Linked DNA regions of Saccharomyces cerevisiae S288C. The gene in region 2 interacts genetically with the main gene of each other region. Each region holds a gene or a part of one and is shown on either strand. Other genes may lie near its edges.

The links. Genes that interact genetically often act in the same process or in processes that back each other up.
Region 1: mutations in SMF2 (region 2) and CDC1 together harm fitness more than expected from each alone (negative genetic interaction), as found in Saccharomyces cerevisiae (3 studies listed by BioGRID, with this or other methods).

Annotation. Positions count from the first base shown.
Region 1 is NC_001136.10:825,745-829,944, reverse strand, and holds CDC1 (putative lipid phosphatase CDC1), read right to left. Parts: upstream 2,364-4,200; coding exon 888-2,363; downstream 1-887. Other genes in the region: PLP1 (Plp1p), read right to left, coding at 1-360; YDR182W-A (uncharacterized protein), read right to left, coding at 591-794; SAS4 (Sas4p), read left to right, coding at 2,590-4,035; cohesin-loading factor complex subunit SCC2, read right to left, coding at 4,169-4,200. UniProt on the Saccharomyces cerevisiae protein: Probable metallophosphoesterase which may participate in recombinational repair of double -strand breaks.
Region 2 is NC_001140.6:205,826-209,927, reverse strand, and holds SMF2 (divalent metal ion transporter SMF2), read right to left. Parts: upstream 2,275-4,102; coding exon 625-2,274; downstream 1-624. Other genes in the region: COX6 (cytochrome c oxidase subunit VI), read right to left, coding at 1-223; YHR050W-A (uncharacterized protein), read right to left, coding at 283-453; FSH1 (putative serine hydrolase), read right to left, coding at 2,735-3,466; YHK8 (Yhk8p), read right to left, coding at 3,777-4,102. UniProt on the Saccharomyces cerevisiae protein: High-affinity manganese transporter involved in manganese uptake from the extracellular environment.

The DNA of each region.
Region 1 (4,200 bases), on a different chromosome or scaffold from region 2:
TTCATTCATATACTGGCACTTACCGAATGTTTCTAATTCAAAATGTATGACCACCATAGTAGTCTTTGTACATATTTGGATAGCATCTGCCTCGTTATCAATGCACTGCAATCTACCGTATCCGTCATCCTCAACATTCTTCTTGACCTGTTTTAAATGATCTGATATTTGTTGTAGCCTCTCCGACCGATAAGCACTCAAAAATTCATGATCCTCGTCTAATTCTCTATCCAATTCATTAAGTAGTTCATCTAAATTTTCCTCGCCACTACTTTTGTCATCGCTATCGACAGTTGTGTGTTTATCCTTTTCAGCATTTGAAAGCACATTTGTGTAGTATCTGTCTAATTTATCTTCCATATTAATTTAATCTTCATATACGTATGAGTTGTTAAGAGAATGGAGTATTTTCGTTAATCTTTTGTACTTCATCCTACTTTCGTGTTTTTTAAACTCTAAAAATTACACTACTATGATCACTATATTGCTATGGAATAATAAAAAGCAAAAACGAAAGATTGAAAGGAAAGTCGTCCTTTTGTATCCATCTTTTAAACAAAGCTTACAAAGAAATTTGCCGTCATGACTTGCTAAATTTGATATAAAACTAAAGGAACCAACAACTTACCTAGGTGTTCTTTTTTGTCCCCGTATAGTGAAGTAATTGGTGTTACGCCCAGTCCTGCAGTTTTAGCTTGGACCACAAAACATAATGCAAATCCAGTAGAGGTTATGCAAACTGTTTGGTGAGCATAGTAATACCACACCCGGTATAATTTATATCTCTTGTTCATTGTCTGTATATAAGGTGTATTCGCATATATTAAATAGCCAGACGTTTCCCTTCAAAGCATTTTGATCCTGGAAGAGAATAGCAGTAATTCTGTCTAGACTACAGTATAAAAATAAATAAAAATGGGCATCACAGAAACAAAAAGGACAATTGCATTAACTAGAAATTGTTTGATCGAACGCGTATCATTCACAGCGTATTTACTATGTGTCAATGATTTTTTGGATTTCGATTTGGAAATACTTGTAGGTAATGGCAAATCTGAGGTGTTACCATCAGGTCGTGTAAATACTCTGTTCATTATGGTTGCTACGCGATTATTAAAAGATTTTGGGAAAAAATGCATGTATGCGATAAAGGCAGCAGAGAATAATAATCCCCATAGGTACATTCTGATTGCCTTATAGGGATCTGGCATATAGCATAGCTCTGTTTGGTAAGTTTTTGATGCATACTCTCCGCCGGCATTTACCATTGTCAAATCTGAAGGATTATATAAGGAGAGCAATTGAATAGCAGGCCTACTGATCCCCATGTTCATTGCACATGACTTTACTGTAATTTCTTGAGCATTTTTAGTTTTCCCCTGAAACGGATATGAGTGTGATATCTGACAATGGTCATGATCATCCCCGGAAAATAATATTTCTGGTTGAATTTTCGTTAAAATTTCTTGTGATATATCGTTTTCTATAACTGTCTGGTACTGGTGCCCTTTCTGAATAGGAAAAGGTTCTTTGGATTCACGTAGCTGACCGCACGTTTGCTGTTCTGGATCCCTCCATAATGGAACGTGAGTTAAAAGAATTCTAGGAAGCGGATGTGAACCCATTGCAAAATTATCCAAAAACTGTCTAGGAACCCTCGAGACATTCGGATTTGTTTTATCAGAAAGCGAAATTGTATCTAAAAGTACAAAGGTATGATTTCCAGCGTCTAATGAGGAGGAAGTTTCTCCAAAGTAACTAGAAAATCTCTGTAAACTCGATTCAACAACTGTGTCTCCAAAACCAATATCGTGATTACCTGGTAAAGACATGACCGTTCTTCTCAGTGGCTTCTTGGGGAATATTTGGTTGAATCGTGTGTACTCTTTAATCCATTGCTTATCATCCCAGTTTCTCCCTCCATCAAATAGATCACCTAGGAAAAAATTGCTATCAGGATCCAAGTAATACTGGACATATTTCCAATTTCTCCTGTGATAATGGTCAACAATCACTCTTGTAAAATAATTAACTATTTGAGGCCTCCCAGGATATGAATATTCGTCCATTATTTGTGGGTCTGCAAATAAACCCACCCTATGACTTTCAGCGCCTTCAGGCCAATCCTCCCAAGTCGACCATTGGCACTTCTTCATTGCTCTCTTCACAACCACTGATTCATAATAAGATATTAATCCTAACCATAAGATCCATACAATAGATATGTATCTCCAGTAGATTCTTAACCTCTTCTTGCTCCTGCTTTTTGATTTCTTTTTCGAACGTGATTTATAGTGGGCCTTATCGTCGCTCTTCTTGCTGTGTGTAGATAAAACGCTCTTTGACCTGTTACGATATACCATACTTCCTAGAGCTTATTGTCTAATGTATCCAACAGATTAGTAGAAGCGGTACTGTTTTCCCTTTCTTTTTGGTTATTGTTGTTTCCATAATCGTTCGTTCTACATTTTTAAAAATAAGAAAATCTAACCCGCGAGTTGATTTCAGCGATCTCAAAACAAAAAGTAGCAAGATTAAAAAGGAAAACCGAAAATTTCTACAGCATTAAAAGCATATGAGAGTTCATCAATGGGTATTTTTCAATCAATAGAAGAAGCAAATAATACTTCTGAGAGATTGCTGAGGTCTGAGATTAAAAATAGTCATGGAGAATTTGAAAAATTCGATTTTGATACAGAAGAATACGAAATTAACCCTAAAAGGAAGTTAAGATTAGTCAGCAGGATAAACCCAAATGCTGGACATCTAAGGAAATCTAAGTCCTGCTTTACTGTAGATGAGCATGTTGACGAAACGCGTTGTCAGAAACCTGTGATGAAGTCGCCGTTCATGAGTAATGTCGATGATGAGATCAAGAAAAAGAGAGAGACAATTACAAAGATGACACTAGAAATTGAACATCATGAATTGAGCCAGAATATTAGAAAACCAACTGATGATTTGCTTCCTGATAGCACGTATCAGCCTTACCACAAGAAAATGTTGAAGCAAGAAAATAGAATGATTCAATCGGACATCGTAAATGGTGAAAATGAAGCAGACAGGCTTTCATTAATTTCAGACAGACTGGGTATGTTGAATTGGGAAGTAACATTACAGAAGGTTACTAAAATAAATGACCCCACTGACGAGAATGAAATGGAGACTAAACGTTACCAAACTAAAGAGCTGATTGATTCAATGTTACATAAATTTGAATCTATGAAAAAAAAAAGCCGCAATTTAGCTAGAAGGCCAGCCTCAAGTGATTCATTGTTGAAATTGGTTAGTGGCAAAGATTGGCCCAAGATATATACTCGAATCGATCGAACTTTTATTCCAGATTACGCAAGCTCCTCTGACGAAGAAGAAGAAAAAATAACCGTTGAGGAAATAAGGGAGAGACGCCTAAAGAAGAGAGAGCAGCAATGCGGTGGTTCCATTATAGTACTGCTGAGCGATCATCAATCACAAAAGGGAATGACACGGTTTGCTATCGTAGCTGAGCCGCTCCGAAAACCGTATTTGATTAAAACCTCCACTAAAGAGAGAAATTCATGGAAAAACAAAGTTCCCACAAATCCAAAAAAATTCAAGAAAGCTCCTCGAATATCAACGCAAATTGCTGTGAAAAGAAGAAGGGAAGTCATCCCGTTAACGATGGAGGTGGAACCAGAAGTCATTCGGGATATAAGGCAAGATACACAAAAGTCTATGAAACTGAATGTTAAAGCGGAGGAAATATCTGTGACAGAGACTGTCAAATCAAAAGAAATGAATGCCTTAAGGAACAATGCTGCATCTATAAGTCCAACTCTTTCAGAGAAGGCACCTTTAGGTTCAATTTCATCTTGCACTGCATCTCAGATTTCACAAAGGTCTTCTGAGAATGTGGGTGCTATTATTAACAATATCAACCCAAACTTAGCAATAGTGCCCTCTTGTAACGAAAAGACCTTTGTAAAAACACACAATGGAATGAAAACTAACTCAGGTATTAATATTTTGCCTGTCCGCAAGAAAAAAAAGGTTTAGTTTGAACTAATATAATGCGATGGTGTAAATGAAATTCAATATTTCATAGTTGCTTCTCAAAACCTGCGTGAAAAATCAGCATGGAAAATGCAAAATGATTATTAATACTATGTATATTTTAAGTGCAATATATTTACGTATCCTTCACGTGTTTTCTAAAATATG
Region 2 (4,102 bases):
TGTTGAGCACTCTTTGCACTTCAAACAAATCATAGGCTTCATCAAACTCCTTTTCGTATCTTGCGGTGAATTCCTCAAAGGTTTCTTCATCATGTGCGTCAGAATACTTCCTACTTTGAATAAACGTATTTTTAGTCAATCTAGTTGCATGATAAGCACCAGGTCTGGCTCTCAATAAAGTTCTATTTATAACTGGATTTCTGAATATGGCCCTTGATAACATTGTTGTATATTTATTAGTTTATGTGTCAAATACAATTGTTCGGCTGTTTATCTCCGCTACTAAGTCTCAGAAGTGATACAATTTTTCAAATTGTAATAATAAATAAGTGTGCTAAAATGTGGATGAAATGTAAAGAAATGAGGTAACCTTGAGATCTGGCACCTTGATAAGCAAGAGCAATTGTTGATCTTTATTAATGCTTTGACCGGACCAATTAGGTCCCTTTTCATAGGGAGATTCAAAGAAAGCTGTAAGCGGCGGAAATAACGCGCGGGGCCCTGATTGGCTCGTATGGAGCGATACGGCCATCAGTATAGCCTAACACCAACTTTTTGATTGGAATTTTCTGTTATTATTCTTGGATAAAATGTATACTTATACTAGTCTAAAGAATTGTTATATTAGAGGTGTACTTCTTTGCCCGTAGTAAAGCCCAGTAACATATAAAAGTTCAGTCCGGAGATAATCAACCATACTATGATTGCGAGCACGGTGACGATCATTCCATTGCTCATGTCTTTGTATTCTGGAGCAGGAGAAACTAAGCTGCGCTCCTGTGAGCTGCTGCCTATGCCCATTTCTTCGAGCTCAATGGTCTCATCATCTTCGGTTCGGTCGGCCACGGGTTTTTTGTCTGTAGTTCTTGAAAGTTCTTTGGTACGGTTAAGCTGTACACGCATAATCTTCTTGCTTGAAGTGAAGTAAAGTAAAGGTGCAGAAACAAAAGGCAGCAAGAGAGAAAGTACCACTTGGGAAGCATTTAGTGCACCAGAGAGGCCGCTACGTCCAGCTACAAGCACTAAAATCAAACAAGGCGTGATGGCTACCGCTCTTGTGGCGGATCTTCTCAATGCCGGAGAAACAGTCCAATTTAAGAACCCTTCACTAACCATTTGTCCACTCAACGTACACACGATACCGGCACTCTGTCCTGAAAACAACAATGCCAGCACGAATACCGTTCCCGCTCCCTTGGAAAGAGTACTACAGAGTAAGTTGTAAATAGAAAATAAGTCAGCTTCCTCAGCATTTTGAGTGGACCCGTATAGTGTAGCGCCAGACACGATAAGAATGGCACAATTGACAAATAATGCCACCGTGAACAGCGAGATCAGTAATTCCGTTATAGTAAAGTGCAGAGTTTCACTGATGGCCTCATAGGATGGCCTGTAATTATCGTGATTGTTATCCATATCATTCGCGTCTGGCAAGTAATGTCCGTTTTTGATATCATACTCTCTTAATCTTGGTTGAACCACACCTGACCCCAAATATAATGAATGAGGCATTACCGTGGCGCCCAGAATTGCCAGACTTAAGTATAACCCATCACCTTCAAAAACGGCTTTACTGGGTAAGAACCCAGAAAATATTTCTTTGGCAGGTCCCAGTTTGGCATAAAACAGTTCAACAGTAAAGCAAACTACGGTAAGAACCACCAATAAAGAAACAAAAGCTTCAAATATTCTGATACCCTTCATGGAACCGTTAGGTTTGTAAGCTAGCAGAACAATTAAAACGTCTACCACAGTAAGTATCACACCTAGGGCGAGAGGTATATGGAAAAGGATATTCAAAGAAATAGCGGTTCCTACCACTTCTGCCAGATCTGTGGCAATAATTGCCATCTCCGCCAGAATATAAAGAGTAATGTTAAGTCCAAAGGGCAAATGTTTCTTACAATTTTGTGCCAGATCTAGGCCAGTGACAGCACCCAATCTGGCGCAGAGGTACTGCCAAAAAGCAGCCATGAAATTAGAAACTAAGACAGAAAATAAAAGCTTGTACCGATGAGCAGAACCCGCTGCTACAGCTGTACTATAGTTACCAGGATCCATGTACGATACAGATACCATCAAACCAGGACCGATGAACCTAGCATATTTTCTCAATGTTCCGATCATGCTCTGGGATGTTGAGTTTGGCTGCAAAGTTGTTCTTCGACGCGACTCATGAGTGGTATTCACGTCGGCATACGCATCGTTGACACTATCATTATTTGTTTGGGATTCATCGCTCCATTGAATAGGTTCATATTCTTGGGACGTCATCAAACATAAACGCTATACGGAAAATTAGTGGTTAAATGGCAATAGAGATGTGCTAATATTAGTATCAAAACAAATAGTTGTTGAAGAGGGTTTTCTAAACGGTTAAACGCGTTTGATGGTTAAATGACTAGAAGCAAAAGGAGACTGATTCTGAAATTTAATATGATTTCTTTTTTTTCTGCTGTTTCTCTTCTGCATTATTTTCTTCCTTCGAGAAAGAGTATAAGTATGTTTAAAAAGGTCTTCGTAAGCCACGCTAAAGCACCCCGGGTGGATTTTTCGCGCCGGGCGGGGTTAGCAGCACGCAGGATGGAAGAGAAGAGAAAGGATGCTACAAACTTGTGGTTCATTCTATACAAAGTACTTATATGTATATATACATACTCGATCAGCATTTCACTCCACACACCCTGCGTGTGATAGTAAAAAGCTAGAAAGCAGGTAAGCAACAACCTACGATTTATTCAGAAGCTTCTTGTAAGGAAGAGGTTATTTGTTCAACAATTGGTCTGATAATGTCCTTCTTGTTTGGAACCATATGTCCACCAGGGTGTTCGTAAGCCAACACCTTTTCCTTATTACCATTTTGCGCCTTCAAATAAATATCGTACAGGTACTTGGATCTGACGGATGGGACGGCTTGGTCAGAAGCACCATAGATGAAGATCATCTTGGTCTTCATGTCTGGTTTTACCGCAAATGAGTCTCTGAATTTTTCGGTTATTCTCAATTCTCCAGGATGTTCTGGGTCTGGCTCGGTGAAGGAATAGCCGGAAATGACTACACTTACCTTGAATTGTGGATGGTCTGGAACTAACTCTGAGATCTTGTTGGTGATGATAGAGGACAATGCGGCACCTTGAGAGAAACCGACAATGCCGTCGTATGGGCCATTGGCCTTGATGTGATCAACAACAGACTTCAAACCTTCTGAGATATCCAATTCGTGAGAGATTTCGCTGTGATAGAACCAGGCTCTGTTAACATCCGCATCTAGGGTGGCTTGCCATTTTTCATCATCCATTTCAAATGGCAAGTCCTTCTTTTCTAAAAGGACTGGTGCATCAATATAGTCACATTGGACATTAGCCTTCTTCAATAATTTTCTAATACCAGATGATTTTTCGGAGAAAACTTTACCGTTTTGCAAGAAGCCGTGTAAAAATAATAATTTTGGAATTTGTACAGTCATCCTTCGTTTATTACAAGCTAGAGAGTTTCAGATTTAGCTGCTACTTTTACTAGAAAATTAAGATTGGCCGCGTACATCTGGCATTTTGCACCTTTATGGTTTATATACAATATACATTGCAGCCAAAAACATTCGAAAACTAGAGAAAAAGAAAGAAAACATGCGAGAATATGCAAAAATGAAAAAATGCAAAATTTCTTTTTTCTTTGGCCTATGCGTGTTGCCTTTTGAAGATCCGAAACAATCTATCACCAATGACGTAAGCGGGAAAAGATTATGCAACATCCAAAGGAAAAAATATGCAAAAAAATCAATCATCCCATGCATACGGCGACTTGGCTCTCAGTCGGGCACCGTATTTGGTAAACAGAAATGGGACAGGAATCATCGCTACGGTCACCATTGCCAAGAGAAAGCCGGCCCAATTCACTCCCATTGACTTGTACATCTGGAGTCCGAAAAGAGGGAAGACACCGGCCATTATGCATCTCACAAATGTGTTACAAGCCATTCCAGAAGCTGCATATCTTCTATAGGCATCCACTGTATACGCAAAAACACCGGTAAAGACGAAATAAACACCTGAACCGAAAATTGCACTGCCTATAATTGGTGCAATCCAATGGACATGCTTGT